Drosophila melanogaster: one gene and its partners. The protein of the gene in region 4 interacts with the protein of the main gene of each other region in a pairwise test. Each region holds a gene or a part of one and is shown on either strand. Other genes may lie near its edges.

Region 1 (6,953 bases), on a different chromosome or scaffold from region 4:
CACGAGTGTTCACTGTTCTGCGAAAACTTTGGCAATATGCTGCTCCAGCACTGATTTATGCAACTTCAACGGCATTTGGCCGAAACGTTTATTGTCACATTGCTTGTTTTTCTCAGCTCTTGGGTCGCACACTCCACACACACACTCCCAATCGTACACCCACATACATTTGCAGCTATTGACGCTTATTCATGACTTTGGCTGCTGTTTTGCGAGAGGGCATCATAAATGTCGTCTTAATGCTTGCCAGTCAGTATGTTTTTTGCCTTCTGTTTGTTTAAGAAGCGCAAACAGTCAACTCGGCAATGGTATGGGTATGGTATATCCAAGGGGGCGGGCTGTATCTGTGTGGATTAGTGGGCGTGGTGGGGTTGAGCATGCCTTTGTGCGCTTATTACACGCATTTTTGACTTTAATCCTCCGAAGTGCTGGCGAACAAAGCCGAAATAACAAAAGGTTTACATCGCTGCCTGTTGGTTTTCAGCTTATCGCATCAGCGACACTCACACACGGACCTCATGTGCATGTGGGAGGGTCGGAAAAAGAAGGCGGAAAATGGGAAACCCCCCCCCAAAAGCAAGCTGCAAATGAAAATCTTAATTATACATGACACCAGCAGAAGTGAGAGAAAGCCACCGCCAGTGATTGAGAGCCATTCTCTGTAAAAGTGTATTCGCAGTCGTGTCTGTGGTTGTAAATTGTCGCCATCTTTCACTCAATTATGGCAGTCACACACACACACACACTCTGTGTAGGTGCCACAACAATGGCTGATGAATTAATTTAATTAAAATCCTTTCATTTCTCTGGTTACCCTTCACGTTCGTCCACCATTTCCTTGCATTCCCAGCGGGTATTTATAGTATCTTATTGTTACCGAAAACATTATTATTGTGTGGAAAACTGGCAAGCCATTAAGATTGATCGGTATCTCGGCACATAATCCGAATTTTAAAGTTTAATCTTTAATTCTTGGCGATTTGCTTTGTAAGCAACTTATAATTTGCTCTGATAGCCATAAGCTAAGTGTATAGAAAGGCTTACTGTGACTGTTATGAAAGTAAGAGCTCTCCATAAATGTCCAAGCATACAGCTAGTATGAAAAACTCTTTGGGGGAATGAAGACCTCGGCATGGCACCCAGGCAACTATCCAATTAACCCGGCTAGTGTGAAAATCGCTCGAGGCAGCAAAAGAGCGCGACACATGAAAGAGTGAAGAGGGGGGAGTGGGGAAAAGGGGAGAATGTCAGGACAGGATGGGGACCGGGCTGAGGACTCACCTGAGCTGTCGCTCCTGCTCGAAGCGCGGAATCCAGACGGGCAATGTGAGCTGTTCGCGTGTGGCGTGCTTCAGAAAGTAAACCATAGCCCGGACATTCTCGTGCTGCGAACAAAGGACATACATGGGTGTCTATTCCACGGGGCCAGGAATAGGGTCTTTCTGCCAGTCTCACCTGATCCTGAAAGTCACTGCGCCAGCCGGCGATGAAGTGCGGAGCATGTGGTCCAAACAGGGCGCCCAGGAAAATGCGCTCATATGTCTTCTCGCACTCGTAAATGGCCACTGAATTGCACAAAAAGGGGATAAATTAGTCATGGGAACAGGAAAATAGTTAAAAGTTAATTTATATAAAACAAGCCACGTTTAATAACATTTCGAAGTGGGTAATGCCATAAACCAAATTTGTATACACATTGTGACCGATTTTCCCGCGATGCAGGCAAATTGTCGGTAGTGGAGAAAGCGGTTAAATAATGTCATCAAATCGCAGCAGCGCAGCCATAAAAAAGCTAATTACGTGGCTGCACTTGTTGCTGCTTTGGTTTTTTGGCTTTCGGTTTCGTTGGCTTTTTGGCACAGCCCAGAAATGAAGTCAGCGGAAAACGGAAACGGCCACAATGTTTGCCAAACCAAGGCCAGCGGGTCCAAAAGGCTGGAGTCAGCAACAAAGCAACTTGGTGAGTGAGGACAGGACAAACAAGGAGCAAGTTTTATTGCACACGAGTCCAGATTCCCTGACAGAGGCATGCCATTAATTCCAGGCACTTTTCCTGCTCGCAAAAGTTTACGCAGCCTTTTAATTAGAGGCAGCCAACATGCGTACGCCCCAAATAACTTGCAACACTTTGAGGCACTTTACAAGTTTTACGATGCAGCAACAACAGAGCAACAGAACGACATCAGCAACACTTTCTTAACGCAATTAGCAGAAACACGTGATTAAAGTGAAAACTGCCTGCTTATGGGCGTAATAATCCGATGCGATGGGATGATATTTATTAAAGTATGCAAAGCACACAGCCACGCCCAAAAAGCAAACAGGAAAGTCTTGCCACACACACACGCACACTCACTCGCATACGCTTACGCACACATACGCATACATATGCATTTAAATTAAATTATTTAGTTGGCCCGACTCCACTTACCCAGCAGCTTGACGACCACCTCCGAGTCCCGGACTCCCCAATCCCAGCAGGTGCGCAGTCCGATGTACAGGATGTTGTGATACTTGCCCATGAGGCAGACCTGGGGAATACGCATGGAATGGAGGGTGTGGTGAAGGGGCTGAATCCCAACTGAAGTGCTACTTTTTAAATTATAAATAATTGCCATATGAAGAGATGGCATTTAAAATGGAAGAAAATTAAGTTTAGCAGACTCTGCCAAAGGAAATTAAGCCCGAAACAACTTTCCATATTTATTTACACTCTAAAAGGTCAATTGGATCGCAGCAGCAGGATATACATATTTATGCATAGTTTTAGTACTTTTCTAACCGTTTTCTAGAAAGCTTTATTAAATTCCACTTTTATTCGACTCAAAAGCAAAGCAATGTTATTTGGCTAATTAATCATTGGTTTCCATTCATAAGGCTTGGTTTAAACATTAACATTTATTTAATACGACAACGAAATAGACTGACTTGGCTTTTGTTCTAATTATTTATTTCGTTTTTTTAAGTACCGGAAACTAATTGTCAAATCATTATTAATTAAGTTGAGCTTTGCTAAAGCCCAGTGCTAGTTTGTATGGACTCTTTTAAGTAAATATTTATTCATATTAACTATTGAAGTTTGGCACACAGAAATGCCACATTGGCAACACTCGATTTGTACATAAAGCTCACCTGGCCGTTCTGCTCCTTGGCCATTCGGTGGTACCTCATGGCCGCCGTCACCGCGATGGCGGCCACCTCATCCGTCTGCGAGTTCTGGCCGCCGCTGCAGCCCTTGATGATGGAGCTCAGGTGGTCGAGGACATCTCGCCGCGACTGGCGGTCCTGCAGTCCGTTGCGGGAGATCTGCTCGAAGGTGTCGTCGAAGAAGCACTCGAAGATGTAGTCCATGACCAGATGGCGGCGCTGGGTTCGCCGGTTCCGCTGGTGACTGGCCCTATTGGCAGGATTCCGACGCAGTTGTTCCCGCACCCGCAGACGCAGCCGTGCCCGTGACTCAGTTTCCCGGCGGAAACCGTAGAAATGCCGTGGAAATGGCAACCAGCAGCGAACCCACACAAATTGGCTTTTTAATTGACTTACCAGCCGCTGGAAAGCCTGTAGCAACTGCGAAAGCATATTGCAAACAAAATTTAATTCACTTTAAGTAGGCAAATATTTTCGATTGAGCTGAATTGATGATTCCCTCCAAAGAATTGAAATTCCGCTTCAAAAAAACTCCCGCACCGCTGAAGCCAAAGAGTCGCAATACACAAAAAAGAGAGAATTTCTTTTGCGGGGGTGACTCTCTTGCGCTATCGATTTTTTGCAGCTGGCAATGATGTGCTGGGAGAACTTTTGATAAACATAAACAACTCATAATGAGCATGCGGAATATTCATTTTAATATTTTTAAGCATTGCAATCATATAAGAAAATAATTACATAGTATGTAAAGCTTATTCAAAAGCTGATATACAGTTCAATTACTTTTTAGGCCTCTTTATTTCCGTGAAGCTCCCAGCAAAGCAATTGGCAAACAGGTGTTTGATTACCAGCCGACAAGTATATTTCTATGAGCTCTTCAAAAACCGAATGGAACTCGAGGACTCCATTGAAACTGATTCGATTCGATTCAATTCGATTGGTTTTTGCTAAACAGTCTATTGCACTTTGAAATTTGCTGGCATTTTTCCGAACCATTTATTCACTGCACGCAGCGCACTCACACAATTTTCCACCCCACTCATCAGCTGCCGCTGGAAAACTAAACAAACGAAGTCCAATTTCTAAGAACGCTCAGCTGTTTACCTAAGCGCTCACTCTCCCGCTTTCTCTCCACTCTCTCTTTGTACAGAGAGTAGCGGAGGTATTAAATACGCGTTTCATGAGCATAAAGCTAAATTAGATTCTAAATTGGAATTTTCAATTTAAAATATATAGTACATATGTATGCTCTCACATTATTTTTGTGCTAAATGGGTAATGTTTGGCGATAAGCATAAAATCAAATGGCGCATAAAAACGCAGGTTTTTGTGATTTTGCAATATTAAACTGAAAAATAATTGGTTTGTCATTATAAGGATTATGCTTGATTCAACAAAAATATATTTATTTCGAAATAAATACTGATGGTGTGCTGTTTAATGTTTCAGTGCTTTTTTCGGTTTAAATCATTAATGAATTTGATTTTACAACGGAAAACTGAAAACTAATACAAAGTCACTCGATACTTCATTCCAGAGTGAAACCGATATTATCATAAAGCGAACCGCTTTAAGCTATCTTTTTAGAGATTTACTAATCCCCCTTCAATGAATCCATTACATTTTCAAGGGGATCATTTTGAAATAAATATTGCAACAAATATTCATATACACGGATTTAAATCTGTAAACAATAGGAGTGTTTTCTCGAGCTTTAGCCACGTCAAATGTATTTTAAAACACGACTCCAATTGTCATGTAAATTTCTCAGCTACAAAATAAATTCATATTTTAAATAGCAATTGTGCACATTGTTTACATGTTTTTCTATCACCCTTTGCCAATTAATATTTGTTTATGCGGGACATATCAATTTTCCCATACATTATTCAGGCCCACTCATTCCATTATTCGCCGTATTTGCACGTTTAATATTTGGGCTGACAATTAAGCGCTGGGTAAATATTTAAGCACTGCCATAAACATTAATTAAGAACGCACACCAAGGGATCCAGAGATGATGACTGGGATAATCATGTCTGGTAGGGATTCCTCGGGTCCTTCGCCTTAATCGCATATGCAAATAAGTGTCGAAGGACATTCGGCACAGTGTAATTAACTCAGGTCCATTAAAACGGTGCATATTTGTGCTGGTTACCCAGGACAACATGGCAATATTTTCACCTGAACAGGCTCACCTGAGCGCTAATTAAAAGGGCAATGCAATTGTGGCCATATGCAGGCTATCCGATGCCGCAAAGGTAGCGAATTAATTGAATTAAATTCGTATCCAATCAGCGGCGTATTGGCCGTAAATATATGAGTCCGAATAAATGCAACAATGTGTGGTTGCACTGTGGTCGAGCCAAGCGGAAGCGGAAATGCACACAAGCCTGGCGAAATTTTTATTTCGCTTCCGTTTTATGCTGCACTCGATTGTGCGGGCACATGGAGCACAATAACCGAATTTACATAATTTCTGGCGATGCAATCTAATAGCTGAATAAGGGGTCTCCCACTGTGGAAATTACGATGGCAATTTATTGGTGTGCAGATTGAGAAAAAAAAACGACCCCCGAGATATACATCATTCAGAGTGCATTATGGCATCAGACCAAGTCCACAACGGAACTCCCTAACTCGAATTTATGTGACTGCCAAAGGAGTCACATCTCAAATGTTAAGCACTACTATTCTTTGCTTACTGAATTTGCTTGCATCTTAAAGATATAGCTTATACATAACGTTCTGTCTTTATTTCTCTTCGTAAGTGATATTAAAACTCGGTGATTACTTTGTAATTTTGGATAGAATTATTTACTGCGCTACTCTACTTAAGAAAGTTTTATTTACGAAATTTCAGTTTACACTATACTAAACCCCAAAGAAGAATAACAGTTGAGTTTACACAGTGCCTTCCGCCCTGAAACTTATGGCATCTGCCCCTTTTTCCTTTCCTTTTTGCAGGCTCCTCTGTATGGCGATCAACCAGGATGATTCGTTCCACTTGGAGTACCGCGGACCCGTTATCATGAAGGGCAAACCGACGCCCATGGACTGTTGGTTCCTGACGCGTGCCACAAGCAGCATTTTGGGAGGCACTTCCTCGACCGGAGGCAGTGGCGGCGGAGGAAACGGGAGCTTGGATTCGCCGCTGCTGCAGCCAGCCACTCCGACCGCTGGCGCGGCCACGCCCATTCCCGTAGTCGCCCAGCGGGCAGCAGGACATGCCAGCGTGTCACGTACTTCGTCCGCAGGAGGAGGAGGAGGAGGAGCGGTTGTGGGCACATAGGAACTGTGCAAGGACTCGTCCTGCTGCTGCTGAAACATCCTGTAAAGTTGCCACTGCGTGCGTGACTCCATCTGTCCGAATGTCTGCGGCCAAATCTGCAGGTCCTTGGACCACTTAACCACTTCATTTCTATGCCTTTGTGTTTGTCATCCTGCATCCTGCATTCTACGCCCTGTGTCCTGTGTCCTTTCTCCCGCGTCCTGCATCCATAAACCCAAGTGTGTGTTCTTGGCATTGTGTGATTGTTGCTGCTGGCACATTGCGGCCGGAGCCCGAGGAACGTCGGATCGTTGTGCAAGGTAATTTATGTTAATGCTCTTCTATCTGCAACCATTCAAGCCAACCATCCGGGCCAACCACTTAGCCCAGTCACTTTACAAATGATTTACATTTCTCGTGTCTACGCTGGAAAAACCATCATTTGGGTTTAAGAACTGTGTAGATTGTATTGACTATCTTTTACTCACTAAGTGGAAAGTATGAATTTAACCTAGCTTTCACTTAAACTTGTGCT
Region 2 (6,844 bases), 7.7 Mb from region 4:
TTTCGTTATAATTAATTTCGGTGAGATATGACAACAATTAAGTTCCCCGAAAGCATTCCAATCTCTATATTAAACAGATATTGCAAGTAGGCACCCAATGTTTTACATTCTTATAAAGAACGGGGTTTATTGTTCGTTACGTGTTACCTACTTTTAGGCATCATTAGATAATGGTAATCAGAAGATAATGATAATAATAAATATTGAAGAAATATTTTAAGGCAAATTGGTCTAGCTTACCCGCTAAAGAAGGCAGGTAAAAGATTTGCAACTAGATAGATCTAAAAGTGGTCGATTGGATGTCTTAGAAATATGATACTTTTCATTCACTAAAGTATGAAAGATTTTATGATAGAACGTCAACCCAAAACAAAAATGGTCTTGAACCTGGGCACACGTTCATATGTAGGAATGCCACCTTTGATCAGACGTTACATATGTTTTATATGAACTCTTATCAATTCTGAGTAAGAAAATAAAGATAGTACTCATATTCGAGTAACTCTATCATATGAACAGTACAATCAGATTCTAGCATTTAACATACTAGCAAATCATGCAAATTACTTATAAATGCTACTCTATAAAAACGCAGTTCAATGAATGGAAAGTTTCAGTTCGATAAAACACTCGATAGCATCACACAAAATGAAGCTATTTGGACTGCTCTGCGTAATGTTAGTACTTCAAGAAAGTACTCTGGCTGTTGTACAAGTATGTTGGAAAACATTCTTAAAAGTATGAAAAATTAGAATGTTCACTTTCACAGAACGGATTTGCGTTCAAGACGTCCTTATGCGAGGGTAAAAATGGTGGACTCTTGCCCATGTTTGGATCCTGTAAAGGATATTACGTGTGTGCTGATGGAAACGCTGTGACCGGAACTTGTGAAAAGAATACGTTGTTTAATCCTTTAACGTTGCACTGCGATGATCCTGACAATGTGGATTGCATTTTCGATGGCAAGGATAATATTGTTGACGACACGTCAAGTTCTGAAAGCGACGAAGACGATGATGAGGAAATGGCCAAAACTGATCCTCCCGTTACTGTCAAAGCGACGAAAAAGCCGCGTCCTACAACCCTTGACAAAATGTGTGCTGGCAAGAAGGATGGAGTGATGCTTACAAAGAACGGGTCCTGCCAGGAATATTATGTCTGCAAAGCAAAAAAGCCCCATCTGCGCTCTTGTCCTGACAAACAACATTTTAGTCCAACTCGTCGCATTTGCATGAAGGCCTCAGAAGCCAAGTGTTCGGGTGGAACCCGAGAAAATAAAGAATCAGATGGTCCTGCCACCACGGGAGGAGTGTGTTCAGATGAAAAGGAAAACTCTCTTGTTGCTCATCGCAGCGATTGTGGCAAGTTTATGCTCTGCAGCAACATGATGTTTTTGGTAATGGACTGCCCAACTGGCCTGCATTTCAATATAGCCACATCACGATGCGATTATCCCAAAATTGCAAAATGCCAGACGAAGCTAAATGAAAGCAAATCCAAGTCAAAGAAACCTGTGCGCAAGTCAAAAAAACGTCGATTCTAACTATATTTTTTTAAGACCCCAATAAAGTGCTTGAATTATAATAATTTTTAATAGTCCAAAGCCTAAACAGAGAAAATATAGCCACATCATATAGTACTAAAAATAAGGGGAATATTTTCTATTCTCTGCTTAGAATAAGTAGTTTTTATCTATAGAAAAACGAAAATCTTTTCGTTTAATACTCTGCTTTAAATATTGTTTATTGAAACCACTTAGCACTTAACATTATCGGGCCAATCGCAGGATTTGACCTGCAAATTGAACAAAAGTCCAGAGGAACAAGTGAAGTTCACCTCACACTCGCACTGGCAGACTACATAATTAGAACTACAATCTCCGCTGGCATCGGCGAACATGGTACCATCCCGCTGGCCAACGCATCGTCCGTGGCTCTCGCAATAAGTTCCCGAGGGTCCGGCAATCGGACCACTTGGCGGTGCAGATCCATCGTCGCATTGAACATTTTCGGGATAATCGCACTGCTCTATTATTGAATTGTATTGCAGGTTGTTGGAGCACCGCTGCTCATATTTGTTACCATTTACGCACTGGTAGAAGGCGGAGCAATTTTTCTCCACGGGCCAGATGGAATTGTTGGGCACATCGCAGCAGTCGGGATCGCAGGTTTTGGGAATGCACACATTCTCTGTGTCGACCTCGCATTCCTTCAGTGTGGTATTGAAGAACTGCGTAGCGGAGCACTTCCTGGCCACAAAGACTCCGTTTATGCACTGTAGGTATCCGGCGCAGTCCGCAGGATTCACCTTAACCTCATTCTCAGTGCATGTCGTTCCATTTCCGTTGCACTGACCATTATCCACATCGCAGACCTCTGACTGGCTGTTCCAGTAGTAACCACTGTCGCAGGACTTGGTCACATACTTGCCACCGGAACAGATCTCATACATGGTACAGTCGGCCAAGGGTTTTGTAGATCCCTCTTTACAATTGACACATATTCCCTCGTCGTCTTGTACACAAGTCTCCAGTGTGGCATTGAAGTAAGCTCCGTCGGCGCACTGCTTGCTCACCCAGTTACCGTTCGAGCAAGCCAAGTAGCCTGCGCAATTGGTGGGGTCCACCTTAAGTTCGCCATCAGTGCATGTCGTTCCATTTCCATTGCACTGACCATTATCCACATCGCAGACCTCTGATTGGCTGTTCCAGTAGTAACCACTGTCGCAGGACTTGGTCACATACTTGCCACCGGAACAGATCTCATACATGGTACAGTCGGCCAAGGGTTTTGTAGATCCCTCTTTACAATTGACACATATTCCCTCGTCGTCTTGTACACAAGTCTCCAGTGTGGCATTGAAGTAAGCTCCGTCGGCGCACTGCTTGCTCACCCAGTTACCGTTCGAGCAAGCCAAGTAGCCTGCGCAATTGGTGGGGTCCACCTTAAGTTCGCCATCAGTGCATGTCGTTCCATTTCCATTGCACTGACCATTATCCACATCGCAGACCTCTGATTGGCTGTTCCAGTAGTAACCACTGTCGCAGGACTTGGTCACATACTTGCCACCGGAACAGATCTCATACATGGTACAGTCGGCCAAGGGTTTTGTAGATCCCTCTTTACAATTGACACATATTCCCTCGTCGTCTTGTACACAAGTCTCCAGAGTGACATTGAAGTAAGCTCCGTCGGCGCACTGCTTGCTCACCCAGTTACCGTTCGAGCAAGCCAAGTAGCCTGCGCAATTGGTGGGGTCCACCTTAAGTTCGCCATCAGTGCATGTCGTTCCATTTCCATTGCACTGACCATTATCCACATCGCAGACCTCTGATTGGCTGTTCCAGTAGTAACCACTGTCGCAGGACTTGGTCACATACTTGCCACCGGAACAGATCTCATACATGGTACAGTCGGCCAAGGGTTTTGTAGATCCCTCTTTACAATTGACGCATATTCCCTCGTCGTCTTGTACACAAGTCTCCAGTATGGCATTGAAGTAAGCTCCGTCAGCGCACTGCTTGCTCACCCAGTTACCGTTCGAGCAAGCCAAGTAGCCTGCGCAATTGGTGGGGTCCACCTTAAGTTCGCCATCAGTGCATGTCGTTCCATTTCCGTTGCACACGCCGCAGGTATCTTCAACGCACCGATTTAGGGTCGAATTGAAGTAATCGCCATCTGGACAGGTCAGGATCACTATGATTCCGTCCACGCACTCTAAATAGCCGGCACAGTCATCTGGATTCGGTGTAATTTCTCCATCCACACAGGTTGGAGGTCTGCATTGACCATCATCCACGACACAGATATTTAACTCCGAATTCCAATAGGATCCGCTTGCACACGACTTGGATACAAATTCGCCGTGACAGCAGATCAGATACTTGGTACAATCATCCGCATCCACTTTTGTGTCGCCCTCCGAGCAGCACACAGCACTTGACGATCCCATAAAGAGGGAAATTATTAGGCACAGGGCCACTCCTGGGTAAAAACCGCGGATCAACAATCATCCTCCCAATTATCATTGCTCCGTCCTTACCATAGTGTTTAGTTCTGGATTGGGCCATCTTTGCACTCTGCGTATCGAATGCTCACTGATGAATCTTCGCTCGAAGATATCGCCTTTTATATTTACCGGCAATTAAAATAATTGAATGTCTCTTCCTGCATCAGAGCATGTGGCGGTGATAATGTCGAAACATCCGTGATACTATCAGCATATATATACAGTAGTAATACAAGCAATCGATATTGTCACTATTTATAAAACTCAGCGGTTCATTGTGAATCCGCGAAATCAAAGAGTCCAAAAGAAATTATTCTTCAGTTGCTATAAGATGCTCATATATGAGAAGTCTTAACGATCGATTGAAATTGAAATTTCAATGCGCCATAGTGCATATATGTATAAAGAAGAACAACTACTGATAGGTACTTACCTATGTGAACTAACTATTTTGAAGCTTTATATTGTGATAGCAGTGGTTGGACCAGCTACAAATTCCTACAGGAAACATACCCCTTCTTTATTAAAAAAAAAAAAATGGGTATTTATGTTCGATAAGCTCTTGCCAATCTCATTGAGTGCCGACACCTGTTGGCATATTCCCGCCACAAAACTGATTAAAATGATTTACTGATCCAATGTTTCATTAATAAATGGGCAGATTAGGCTACATCCTAGTAGTAGTAGTTGCTTTGATAATCACTTTCTTTATTTGCCAATCGGTCATTTAAAGAGTGCAGGTCACTTGGTTCTTATAATTGCAGGTCTGCAAGCTTTCGTCCCAATACAAGCCATCGGCGCACTCCATCTCGACCTCGCATTCACACTGGCAGACGACGTAATTGCTACAATTTGTGGTGGACTTTAAGTAGGTACCCTCACGTTGTCCCATGCAACGGCCATTACTCTCGCAGGCGATTCCCGAAGGTCCTGCATTGGGACCAGAGGGTGGGGTATACTCCCACGGGCAAACATAGTCCTGGGGGTATTCACATTCTTCGGTATTTGGGTTGTAGACCAAGTTGTTCGGACAATATTGCTCGACGGCGCAGTTGAAGTTACACTTGTAGAACATGTTGCACTTGCCTTCCACCGGAAAGAGTTCTCCCTCCGGCTGGTTTTGGCACACGGTGCTGGTGGTATTGCACTCCACCTTGGGCACATAGTTTTCAGGATAGTCGCACTGGTCTAAGGTGGCGTTGTAGACGAGGTCACCGTAACATTGAACCGCCGAGGAACCAATTGCGGATTTAGTGTCCTTAATCCAATCACACACTTGGGCCGTCTCGTTGAACTTCAGACCCTCGGAACAGGGCATCGCAATGGGGCACTGGCATTGGCAGACGAAGAATCCATTCGAATTGGGGTCCGCAATCATGTAGCCATCCCTCTTACCAGCGCATTCGCCCTGACTGGAGCAGGTGGTGCCCGATGGTCCCTCGATCTCAGTGGAGCCATCGGCGGTGGGGGTACAGTCCACATTCCACCAGTAATCGCAATCGTCTATCGCCGTGTTGAAGTACAGACCGGAGGGACACTGGAATTCCTCGGCACAACCATTGTTGCATTGGATGAACCTCACGCAGATCCCGGGCATATCTATATAGGTGCCAGTTTTCTGATTAACGCAATCCGTGCGGGAACTTTTGCAATACGAGGGCACCACACTTGGACTCGAAGGCGTGGTGTTGGAGGAGTTGTTGGGGTCATCGAAATCCGTTGTAGCATCCGTCGGCTCCGTGGAATCGGAGGGTTCCGTGGCTGAAGTGGTGGTATCCGGATCGCAGTCCTCGGTGACCGCCGTGGTAGTTTCATCGATATCGTCAATGGGATCCTGGCACTCCTCAGCACAGCAATCGCAGGTACACTGATCATCCACTTCGGCAAAGGCCGAGAGTCCCAAGCAATTAGCTCGCCACTGGAAGTCGCACTCCCTCAGCTCCCGATTGAAATGGAGTCCACGAGGGCAGCTACCGATAATGGAAACCTCTCCCTTCAGACAAACGACAAATCGGGAACAGTGGGTGGCCAACGGAAGTCTAGTGCCATCTTCCTGATTTTGGCACACATTCGTCAACTGGGCTACCACAGTTTGAAGACCTCCGATAAGCAGCAGAACGGTCCAGAGACCTAGGATACGGACCCGAAATAAGTTACTAGCCTTGGGTAGCCAACTCTTCACCAGCTTACCCCCAAAATCGATTGGTCGCATTCTTCCGAGATCACCTTTAAAGTAGTCCGAATTTCGCGAACGACTAAGTGGCAAACCAGGCCGTGTAGCACCATTTAACTGCCATGAGTGCGCCAAATCAGTAGTCAATCTTCTGATAATACCAATCACCATACGAATCTCTCGATTAATTCGGCAATGATTTGTTTTGCGCCAGAACGCTATCGCAGGTGTAATTAGGTGTGTGTGTCTGAAGCTCGGCACTGGGATTCGGGCCGGGCTGCCTTATCAAGACCTGAACTTCAGTGCCTCCAACCTGGAGAGAAACCAAATATTTTGGCATAGGTCTACGGATTCTCGACTGCTGAATGGGTACCGCCCCGGCGTCTGCCTAATTTACGTTCTGTCGCACACTCCTAGATAACCACATAACGTATACCTAATCACTCGATTCACTTTATTGACACTTGAAATTAAATGACGTTTATTGTCGCTCAAAATGAAGTGCCAGATACAGCATAAAAGTTTATGAACCAACCACTAAATTCGATTTGGCTATACTTTGTACTTTAATCTTGGTTTTTCACTACTTTCATTCAAGATTTGGCTGTTATTGGCAGGGAAAAATTAAATTATATAATTGAAAAATTAGTACATTTTAATTGC
Region 3 (5,470 bases), on a different chromosome or scaffold from region 4:
GCTCTCTCAACCTGGAGCTAATGCTCGACTACGGCACGGAGGCATGGAAGTCCTACCTGGAGGTCTTCACCGCCATGCAGGCGAAGGCGCAGCTCCAGCTGCAGCAGCTGAAGAAGGACATTCAAGATGTCAACTGGCAGCGCAAGCAGGCGCAAACGCAGGCCGGCGAGCGACTGCGCTCCCTGGAAGCCCATTGGGTGCTGCTGGTCTCCAAGAACTACGAGATCGAGACGGAGTGCGTCGAGCTGGAAAAGATCGTCCATGCCGCCCGTCAGCAGCTGCGGAAGATTACCCCGCCGCCCAGCGCCAATGACACGGCTCCAACGCCGGAATACACGAATGGTTTCGACCAGAACGATTTGGCCGAGAGCAACGGCAGTAGCTCCAGCAATCCAGATCCAAGCCAACCTGGCGATGATGGAACAGATGCCGATGGTGACAGCAAGGAGGAGGACAAATCCGAGGCACAGGAGGAATCTTCCAATGGATCAACGTAGATTTAGTACACTGAGCGAAAGCATGAAGCAAGTTAAAGAAAAACTTACGACTGTAACTAAATATAAAGGATATTAAAAAAAACAGCTAAAAATCTAAGATTTATCTTTATTTTTCAAAATCGTTGCAGAGAAATAGTGATCCTCTTCTTTTTGCTCTTATATCAGGGGAATGGACAGCTAGTAAATTTTAAATAATTTCAAGATTAAATATTTTATTATTTCAAATTGGTAAGGTAGTGTTTTGTGCTGTAAATTTTTTATACGAAGAATGGCATTTTTCAATGTTTCTGCTACGGTCACACCAATTGGATGTTTACAAATTTCGTTTACGAATTAAATAAAAAAAAATATAAATAAATACAGAAACAACTAAGGATGGCCCACTACAAAGGTGCCGCCAGCGAGGCGGGCCGTGCAGCCCAGCTGATGAAGAAGCGGGAGATCCAGCAGCAGGAGATCGAGTTTCGCAAGAAGAAGATCGAGGAGGAGCTCAAGCTGGACAAGATTGAGAACAAGTTTGCCACCCACTACGATGCCGTGGAGCAGCAGCTCAAGTCCTCGACCATTGGTCTGGTCACCCTCGACGAGATGAAGGCCAAGCAGGAGGATATAGTGCGGGAACGGGAGAAGAAGCTCGCCCAGAAGAAGGACGAAAAGGATCGGGAGAAGCAGCGCGCCCTGGAGGCCATTCAGGCGGAGAAGAACAAGCAGAAGCGGCAGATCCAGGCGCTGTCCTTCAACCTGGACGACGACGAGGAGGAGGAGGAGGAGGACGACGAGGATCACGATAAGAAACAGCTGAAGATTAAGCAGGAGGATCAGCCCAAGCCCAAGTGGACGGAGATCAAGGAAGACATTTTGCCCATAAAGAAGAAGAAGATATGCAAGAATCCTGACGTGGACACTTCCTTTCTGCCAGATCGCGAGCGCGAGGAGCAGGAGAACAGACTGCGCGAGCAGCTGCGTCAAGAATGGGTAATGCAGCAGGCGGAGCTGAAGGACGAGGACATCTCCATCACGTTCAGCTACTGGGATGGCTCCGGCCATCGGCGGAACGTGCTGATGAAGAAGGGCAACTCCATCTACCAGTTTCTGCAGAAGTGCCTGGAGCTGCTGCGCAAGGAGTTCATCGAACTGAAGACCGTAATGGCCGACCAGCTGATGTACGTCAAGGAGGATCTGATCCTGCCGCACCACTATTCCTTCTACGACTTTATCGTGACCAAGGCACGCGGCAAATCCGGCCCGCTCTTCCAGTTCGACGTCCACGACGATGTGCGCATGATAAGCGACGCCTCCGTGGAGAAGGAGGAGTCCCATGCCGGAAAGGTACTCCTCCGCTCCTGGTACGAGCGCAACAAGCACATCTTCCCAGCCAGCCGATGGGAGCCCTACGATCCCACCAAGTCCTACGACAAGTACACCATCAAGGACAAGGATAAGAGTAAAAAGTAGTGCTTAGGGCAGTTTCTGCCCGAATAATTGTACAATATAATAATGATTGATTTAATACATCAAAACAAACGAAAAATAACTACAATTTTTATTTGATTTTTCCACCAGATTTACAATCAGTTTAATTAAACTATTATAATAGGCATTGAATGAAATATAAAATATATAACAAATTTATGTTTGCTTAATACAATTTTGAATTCATTAGAAAATGTCATACTTCTCATAAGAATACCCCTAATTATTTAAAATGGCACTGTTAAGAGAACTTGTTGCTAAACAAATTTGGTAGAAATTTTAGTTTATAAACACAGTATAATCAGAGAACATGCAGTTATTCAGCACTTCGTATTGATTGCCATGAAAAAAGAACTGTTAGATTTATATTTTATTTTAATTTTTTAATATTCCAACTGTCATAATAGTCAAAAGAAGTCGGATATGGCGGGAAAAAAGCTAGCCCGCCAGCACCAATAGCAACATTGAATTTTTTGCGCCAGTAAAATTCGCGTCTTTTTATAAAAAGCAAGCGTAATTAATAACAAAAATAAAATAAGTTCCAAGTAAAATGTGAATTCATTTTTCGGATACGTATCGATTTAGTGCCATTTGAGAACCCCGAACCAACGAAATGTACCCGGCGCAACCGGCAAAGGTGGCGTTGGCCGGTCAACCGATATCCGCCGGAAAACCACCACGCCACAGCCCTGTTCAGATGAAGTCTATCCCTTTGCCCGTCTTCGAGCTGCCGGAATACGTGTGCGTGGAGACCAAGTGGGTGACACGCAAGTACGCGATAGAGAATGGCATTCCAGTGAAAGAACTGCATGCCCCGATCACCAATGGAGGCGCTACAGAGTCTCCCAAGAAATCCGTACAGCAGAAGAGACTCAACGAGGTCACTGGAATGTTTGCGAACGAGGCTATGGTGCCGCGCAGAGAGCGCGCCATTCAAACAGAGAATGCGGGCACTAAGGATGCGGGCATTCAATGCCGTCGCGATTCGGAGGAGTGGTATTTACCAGAGGAACGGCCAAAGGATACCGGTTCTGAGGCCTCCAATTCCGACAAATTTCTCACCTACGTGAGCGAGAACACATTCATATTTCCCAACGGCATGATGGAGTGCGCGGTGTGCGGCGATGTGGCCAAAACCTTGCTGGAGCACCAGAGCCACATGACCGCGCACTATGGACCTGGTGCTCTGTGCTTTCGCTGTGGTCAGCGTCTGGACCACCAGAAACAATTGAAGCAACACAGTCTGAGCTGTCCCGCTCTAGCGCCCAGGAAGTCATCGATGCTCTTTAAATGCCCACATCTACTCTGCAACGCCATGAGCCACTCAGAGATGCAGTTGCTCAGGCACCTGAGAAACCATAGCGGCAGGAAGTGCTACAGATGTCTTCAGTGCAAACGTTACTTCAAGACCACCACCTCTCTTTTGGTACACCGAAAAAAAGAACAGAGTTGTGCCAAGGCGAAAGTGGTCGTCCTATTTCGCGAACACAACGGGTTGCCCAATGGAAGAGGTGATCCCAGACGTTGCTCAGTTTGCTTGAAGCGTTTCAGCAGCGAGCGGGTATGCCTGCGGCACCGGAGACAGTGCATCCTTGGCCATTTTAGACGGCTGTCCAGGGTCCTCAAGAAGGAGCTATGAACAGCGTATAGAAATCTTGACCTAGCTGGTATTTATTAGTACATAGAAATCGATAACAATAAAGCGAATAGATCCTACGAAGCCTGGACGCCGTGAGCCTTTTTCAGTCCCTGGAACAGCATCAGTTTCTCCCGGTTAACTTCCTTAAGCGTCTGCACCGCCAGCTCCAGTTGCACCTTCTTCAGCGCATGTTCGCTGGCGATGTACTGCTCAATGAACTTCAGGCTGATCTCATCGGCGGCGAAATCGTGCTCCGTCTTGCCAATGGCCGTATGGATCTCCTGCTCAATGTTCTGCTTATTGTCATGTCGTCGGAAGACGCTTCTTAGCTCCGCCAGGGCACTTTCCGCCGGCGTGGCATGCAGTTTGCCCAGTTCGGTCAGCGTTGCCTGATACTCCACTGGGATGTTGTGTAGCTTGTAGCTCAGAGCAATCAGCTCCACGGCATTGTGCAGATAATCCCGACGGATCATGTCATACAGCAGGTCGTCGATGCAGCGGTGCCAAGCGTAGAAGAAGGCCATGGGTCCAAAGTGGCGGGTGGAGCGCAGAAGATCGAACTCCTTGGACTCGTTGAGATGCTCGAACACACGCGCTGAAATGTTGTGGAACTCCGGCTCATGTGGCTCGTACTGCACCAAGAGTCGATCCAGGATGAACTCGTACTTGTGCTCCGCCAAGCACTTGGCCAGCAGCTCCTCCAGCGCGAACATTCGTGGAGTATATGACTGGCGACCCTCCAGCGGGAAATACAACTGGTTCATGCGCTTCGTGGTATCAAGAGTGGCGTAGGCCAAGGTTCCGTCCATATCCCGGACGATTACCTTGCGTTCCGACTGCCGTCGGCCGAAGGTGATGTCCGTGAATACGAACTTGGAGTTGGCGAAGTCCTTCAGCGCCGTATCCTTGGCTATCACCCGCTCCACATCTTTTTTGATCTGCACAATGGGTGGCATTTGCAGAATTTGCTGAGCCCGCACCACCAAGTTCTGGAACTCGTTGTCCAGCTGCTCGTTGCTCATGAACTTCGTTTCGCTGCTGTTGTCCGGCACCGTGCGCTTCCGATACACCTTGTCCAAGTTCAGTTGCGTCATGGACTGGAGCAGCCGCTGGGTTTCGGCATCCGTGAAAAGCGGCTGCGGATCGCGCTCGTACTGCAGGGCGGCGGGCTTGGTGGGCGCCGAGGACACCTGCCGGATAGCTTGGCGCACTCCTTGGAGGCCATTCAGCTGGCGCAGGCTCCGCAGCAGGTGCATTTTCAGTCAGTAAATCAGGCACAAAAATACACGAGACGGGTGTAGAAATTAGTGAGGGCAGCACGGTGTTTTCCAACACTGCTTGCTAGTAATGACAACAGGAATCTTATTTAATTTAATGTGTTTATTCTATTTGTATAATAACTTTTTTAATGCACATGCACATGCGTAATGCGCCTTATTTTTAAATTTCATTCATAATATGCAATATTTGTTTGAAATAGGAAAATAGCAAAATAGGCAACTTTATTATCTACATAAGAATTAAACGATTATTAACTACTTGTTATTGTTCCCATTTTACCAGACGACTCAATTGTATAACTATGAGCAGCTAGTGCCACCGCCTTTAGTATCAAATCGTAATAATCAAGAAAAAAAATAATATAATAATAAAAACGACATTAAAAATTACCGGGAAATTCGGAAGCCAGTTTCATCTCTTCGACATAGGAATACCCCTACTAGCGGCTTATCTCGGGATCTGACTGCGGTCACACTTGACCAATTGCATTTAGCTGGAAAAAAAGCTGCTGGCGAAAATTGGCAATAAAGTGCAGGAGCAGCCCAAGCATGGAACAGGCCGAATTGGGCAGTACGTGCCT
Region 4 (5,361 bases):
GGCGAGGAATTCCATGATCAGTTGAGCCAACTAAAAGCTGCACTCCTTTGGCCAACTCACCTGGGCAATCATGGCGAAGGATGTGAGAATGAGGGAGCTCTGGTTTGGATGTGTCTGCACTGCGAGAACTCAGCTCAAATGTGAGATGCATTTTCCGCGTGGTCTTCAGTTTTATATTCGAAACTGGCGGCAGCTGCCAGCGGAAAAAAAAACTGGACAATCTAATGGGCAGAGTGACAATTGCGTCTCATTTGGTGGCTGCCCGATCTCGATCTCGATCTTGCACCCCAGACCTCATCGCTGATGGCGGATTTCGTGTTTCTGGTGCGGATTTCATCATTGGTGCTGGCTTTTCTCAATGGAATAACTGCAGCCGCCGCTGCCGAGGCACACCACTCACCGAAGTCCATTTGAGTCCGTTCAAGAGCGCCGCTCCAAGATACCCAGCTAGTCAGCTACCAGCAACACCAGACTCGTTTTCCGCTGACTCGCTGGCCGATCTGGTTTCATTTTTTCGCCGTTTTTTGGCACATTCTCAGGTTCTCCAGCCAAAATTTGTCTGATGTAATAAGTGCCTCATATTGTGGCAGTTTCAGTTGCAGTTGCCACAAGAACAGTGACAGTGCTTTTTTAGCGATTGTAGGTACCCTTTCAAGAAAAATCTTTAATATCATCAAAGACCTAATGAAAATATGTATTTACTCTCAATTTTCTGAAAATGTATGAAACCAAGATTACAATTGGATATGTAAACACTCATTTGGCGAACATACTTCAATCAATATTTGAATATGTAATTGAAATGCCTGCTGTTAAGTTATGCCGATTATCACTCACACGCCATGTTGTCCAAACGCAAGCAAATTTCGCTTGGTTTGCGTGACGTGCGAGTAATCTTCATAGTAACATACATGTCCAATGTGCCCACCCAAAGTGCAGGGTATAAAAACAAGATCAATCGTTCGCAGCCACTCGTTTAATTAGAAAACGAAAATGGCAAGTTTCGACGGCTTGGTGGAGGGAATGGAATTGGGCGGGACGCAGGCGCAATTACGCACTGGCACACGCATTAACCCCTCGACGATCCGATTTCCACCTGACCAACTGGACCAGCGCCCACATTGCTGAGCCCGGTCACTTAGCCACCGTAATTGCCTCGATCGGGCCAAAAAGCATTTAGCCGGCATTTGGAAGCTCTAACCGCGGCGACCTTGCTCACAATTGGCAGCTAAGTGGCTGTGGTTAGTATTTCATCCACTTTTAATTAATTCTCATCTCAGAGCAGAGTCAAGCGATTGGGCAAGGAACTGCATAAATGGCAGTGGAGCATTCCATTCGCTTTGGCCAAATTGGACGACTGTATATCCATGCTGGTTTCCGGTGGCGACAATCTACGCCGACAACCGTTAGTCAGCTACCACAACCCGACGAGTAATACCACCATTTGGTGCCAACTTTTGGGGCTCTCTCCGCTTCTCCGGATCGCTCAGCGTCTCTCCGAGGTGAATCCGCAGCCAACGAGTCGCAAGGTCGTTGGTTGCATTTAGGAAAAGAGTCACGAACTCAAAACCAGCCACCAGTTACAGCACGAAATCGATGGGGAATCTTTAATCAACCATGGAGTTAGGCAAATTCCAAAAGACCAGAGATTCTTGTTGTTACTGAAGATATTTGTTAGGAAAGCATGTTAAATTTAAAATAAGATTTATCCTTTTCAGCAAAGTCGTTTAGGGGAGGAACTAAAAATCTCCTTATGGAAACATAAACCAAATGCATGGCCATTTATTAGAATAATATCAATATAATTGATGTATCAAATGTTGATAATCTTTCAATAGATTTACAATAGTAATATATGGGTATATAGTATATATATTAGTCTAATCGATATTACTGGGCCACATTGACCCAGTTTCACCTTGTTAAGTGAAACCGAACCCCTTGTGAAAACCCTTATTATGTATAAGTGGTAACTCATTAGCATAAGTAATTGATACCCAATAAGGTGTATAAGAAACTTTCCAATTTATTTGAGACAACCAATTCAAGTAGTACATCAAAATCAGGATCATTACACTCTAAAGATACTTTTTTATCCCAGAGATATATTAATATTAAGTTTTTGAGCTTGAACCCTTGTCAACTCGACGTCATTATGGTAACTTAATTATAAGTTTCGCGCTTTTGGTGTAAAGGAAAATTAAAAGCACTGTCATTGGATGGAACCTGCATGACAATTACCGAAAACTACTGCTCCGAAATATAATCAAATCGCATTCACTTTCGATCCGAACAAGGCAAAAACAGTGGCAAATAAAAATGAAAACTTGGTGTAGCCACCGCAAGACGACTGAAAATTGGAGTACGTGCTGCGAATTTGGATCAAAGCCCGAGACGCAGACGCAGCCAAATGCTGGGTAGGAAGAGGCGGCCCCAAAAAGCGGCGATGGTGATGATGCGGGGGGCAAGGAGCTCGGACAATGGGCTACCATACGCAATTGGTACGCAGTTCCCTCCACGGAGCACCGCATGCAAATTTCGCGAACGCATCTGGGTATAAAAGTCGTGGTTTTTTTGTCCAAGGTATGTCAGTTCATTTTCGATAACCGACGGTGACAATCGCACTAAACCCCCACCCAAGCCTTACAATGAATCCTCTGACGGTAAGTGTTGGTGATGGCTTCGGTGAACCCGTCAGGTCAGGAGACTAAACTGGACTCCATGCATTTTCCTCACAGGTTGTTGCAGTCCTTTCCTCGATGGCCCTCTCGGCTCAGGCTGGTCTGGTTGGCGCTCCTCTGGCCGCCGCTCCTCTGGGTGCTCCTCTGGCTTACTCCGCCCCTCTGGGACCTGCTCCATACTTCGCCCCGGCTGCGTACTCCGCCCCTCTGGGCTACGCGGCTCCTTTGGGATACAACGCCCCTCTGGTGGCGGGACCTGCTCCCCTGGTGTCCAAGACCTACGCTGCCGCTCCTTTCGCCGCTCCCTTCGCTGCTCCAGTTGCCCCAGTTGCTGCTCGCCTGGCTGCCCCAGTCGCCGCTCCTCTCGCTGCCCCAGTTGCTCCAGTAGCCGCTCCCCTGGCTGCTCCAGTTGCTGCTCCCCTGGCTGCTCCAGTTGCTGCTCCCATCGCCACCGAGATCGTGGATGCCCACCCACAGTACAAGTTCGCCTACGATGTCCAGGATACGCTAACCGGTGACTCCAAGACCCAGGAGGAGACTCGTGATGGTGATGTCGTCCGTGGATCCTACTCTCTGATCGAGCCCGATGGTTCCCGTCGTATTGTCAGCTACTACGCCGACTCCATCAACGGTTTCAACGCAGTGGTGCAGAAGGATGTGCCCGTGGCTGTTGCCCCAGTGGCTCCAGTTTTGGCCAAGACCGTGGCTGCTCCAGTGGCTCCAGTTGTGGCTGCTGCCCCCGCTCCAGTCTTCGCCAAGACCCTGGCCGCTCCCATCGTCGCCTAAGTAGAAGGAGGAGAAGTAGGAGTCGTAAAGGAAGTATTGACCGCAATTCGACAAAGGACTTTCATCTGTACATATTCGATTAATCATTGTCGAGCTATTGAATAACTTTCATCGCAAAAACCCAAAATTAAAGAAATTCTGAAAACAAAAGATTGTAGTTTATTGTTTAAAGGCATCCTGGATTACGAGAGTGATATCATATAGAGGCTTAAGAAAATTATTTAAGTATTTTAGCTTTAATATTTATAGGTAATATTTATATGTATCATTCTTTATATTTTAAGGATTACACTTAAAACTTGGTGTTCTTTTTAGGGAAGTGGATGAAGAGTTCTGGAAGCTTTCGCAACATGAGAACGTGGCCAGGATGCGTCTGAAATTGGAGCCTCAGTTATATCCAAATAAACACGAGAATGCCGCCAATCTGCGCGACAATGCGACCAGTGCCTACGACACCAAGTAAGCCCAGCCAGTCCTTAGTAGTGTCCTTCATAATCTGATTTTCAATATCCTTTATCTTAGGGAAATCTCTGAATTTGACTCCACCATCAAGAATGCCGTGGTGCGCGATTTCCTGGCGGATGACGAAAGTTCCCAGCTGGAGGAGGAACTACGTCAACTGATCGACACGCAAGCGCAACAGGATGTGGCGCTGGAGAAGCTAGTCATGTCACAGGACTGTGAGCTGATCACGCTGATGACCAAGGTGAAGGGACGCATTGAGGTTAACCAGAGCGTGTTCACCTTTGTGGACTTGAGCCCGCCAACAGAGGATGGTTCCAAATACGATTTCAGGTTCTCCACCAACAAGATACGTGAGGTTCATCTGCGAAAGTACAATCTGCGCAGGAGTGCTTTGGAAATCTTCCTGGTGGATCAGACTAGCTACTTCCTCAACTTTACGACGAAGGTGAGTTTTTTTTTTGTAAATAAAATGTGATCATTGCAAATGTTCTTATTTCTTTAAGACTCGAAATAAAGTTTTCACAAAAATCGTGGGTCTACCGCTTCCAAACATACTCTACGGCTCGGGAAGATCGCCGGCTGAGCTGCTTAGGGCCTCGGGACTCACACAGAGATGGATCAATCGTGAGATTTCCAACTTTGAATACTTGATGTACCTAAACACAATCGCAGGTAAGCAAATAACATCTGATTATTACATACATTTTTATCAAACTAACGTATTTTACATAACTAGGTCGATCCTACAATGATCTAAGCCAATACCCCGTCTTCCCCTGGATCCTTGCTGATTACACCAGTGACGTGCTGGATCTTACCGATCCAAAATCGTTCCGTGACCTATCCAAACCCATTGGATGCGTAAGTATTACTGAAAATAGAAAAAGGTGATCAGTTACATGACAAACGCATTTCTACCGCAGATAAATCCTAAAAACGAGGCCGAAGTGCGCGGCAAATATGATTCATTCGAGGACCCCTCTGGTGCCATACCAAAGTTTCACTACGGAACCCACTACTCCAACTCGGCCGGCGTGCTCCACTATTTGCTTCGCGTCGAACCGTTCACCTCGCTGCACATTGATCTGCAGAGCGGTCGTTTCGATGTGGCCGATCGACAATTCCACTCGATACCTCAGACGTGGAAGTTGCTAATGGACAATCCCAATGACGTGAAGGAGCTGATCCCCGAGTTCTTTTACTTCCCAGAATTCCTTAAGAACATGAATAAGTAATGCATGTGGTTTTTTACTTTTACTTAGTTAGCCTAATGTTATTTTATGTGCAGATTTGATTTGGGCCACTTACAAATAACCAAAGAAAAGGTGGACGATGTCATATTGCCTGCTTGGGCTACCACGCCGGAGGAGTTCATAGCCATACACCGACGGGCTTTGGAATCGGAGTATGTCAGTCAGCATCTGCACCA

What was found.
Region 1: the proteins of Cpr64Ad (region 4) and stops interact in a two-hybrid assay, tested with the Drosophila melanogaster proteins (one large-scale study listed by BioGRID).
Region 2: the proteins of Cpr64Ad (region 4) and CG17826 interact in a two-hybrid assay, tested with the Drosophila melanogaster proteins (one large-scale study listed by BioGRID).
Region 3: the proteins of Cpr64Ad (region 4) and Boh1 interact in a two-hybrid assay, tested with the Drosophila melanogaster proteins (one large-scale study listed by BioGRID).

The regions. Positions count from the first base shown.
Region 1 is NT_033777.3:31,164,895-31,171,847, forward strand, and holds the start of stops (slow termination of phototransduction), read right to left. Parts: upstream 3,711-6,953; 5' UTR 3,580-3,710; coding exon 3,133-3,579; intron 2,532-3,132; coding exon 2,432-2,531; intron 1,566-2,431; coding exon 1,456-1,565; intron 1,386-1,455; coding exon 1,282-1,385; intron 1-1,281. Other genes in the region: Gycbeta100B (guanylyl cyclase beta-subunit at 100B), read left to right, coding at 6,115-6,439.
Region 2 is NT_037436.4:11,947,098-11,953,941, reverse strand, and holds CG17826 (uncharacterized protein), read right to left. Parts: upstream 4,104-6,844; 5' UTR 4,070-4,103; coding exon 4,042-4,069; intron 3,984-4,041; coding exon 1,756-3,983; 3' UTR 1,717-1,755; downstream 1-1,716. Other genes in the region: obst-G (obstructor-G), read left to right, coding at 649-714, 770-1,543; CG7252 (uncharacterized protein), read right to left, coding at 4,736-6,138, 6,199-6,220.
Region 3 is NT_033777.3:27,916,397-27,921,866, reverse strand, and holds Boh1 (buddy of Hmr 1), read left to right. Parts: upstream 1-2,406; 5' UTR 2,407-2,583; coding exon 2,584-3,609; 3' UTR 3,610-3,683; downstream 3,684-5,470. Other genes in the region: BCAS2, read left to right, coding at 1-497; CG12259 (uncharacterized protein), read left to right, coding at 873-1,952; mRpS22 (mitochondrial ribosomal protein S22), read right to left, coding at 3,684-4,865; CG5003 (uncharacterized protein), read left to right, coding at 5,439-5,470.
Region 4 is NT_037436.4:4,212,802-4,218,162, forward strand, and holds Cpr64Ad (cuticular protein 64Ad), read left to right. Parts: upstream 1-2,577; 5' UTR 2,578-2,648; coding exon 2,649-2,663; intron 2,664-2,738; coding exon 2,739-3,467; 3' UTR 3,468-3,613; downstream 3,614-5,361. Other genes in the region: CG43367 (uncharacterized protein), read left to right, coding at 3,783-3,926, 3,990-4,377, 4,436-4,604, 4,669-4,793, 4,856-5,163, 5,221-5,361; Cpr64Ac (cuticular protein 64Ac), read right to left, coding at 61-72.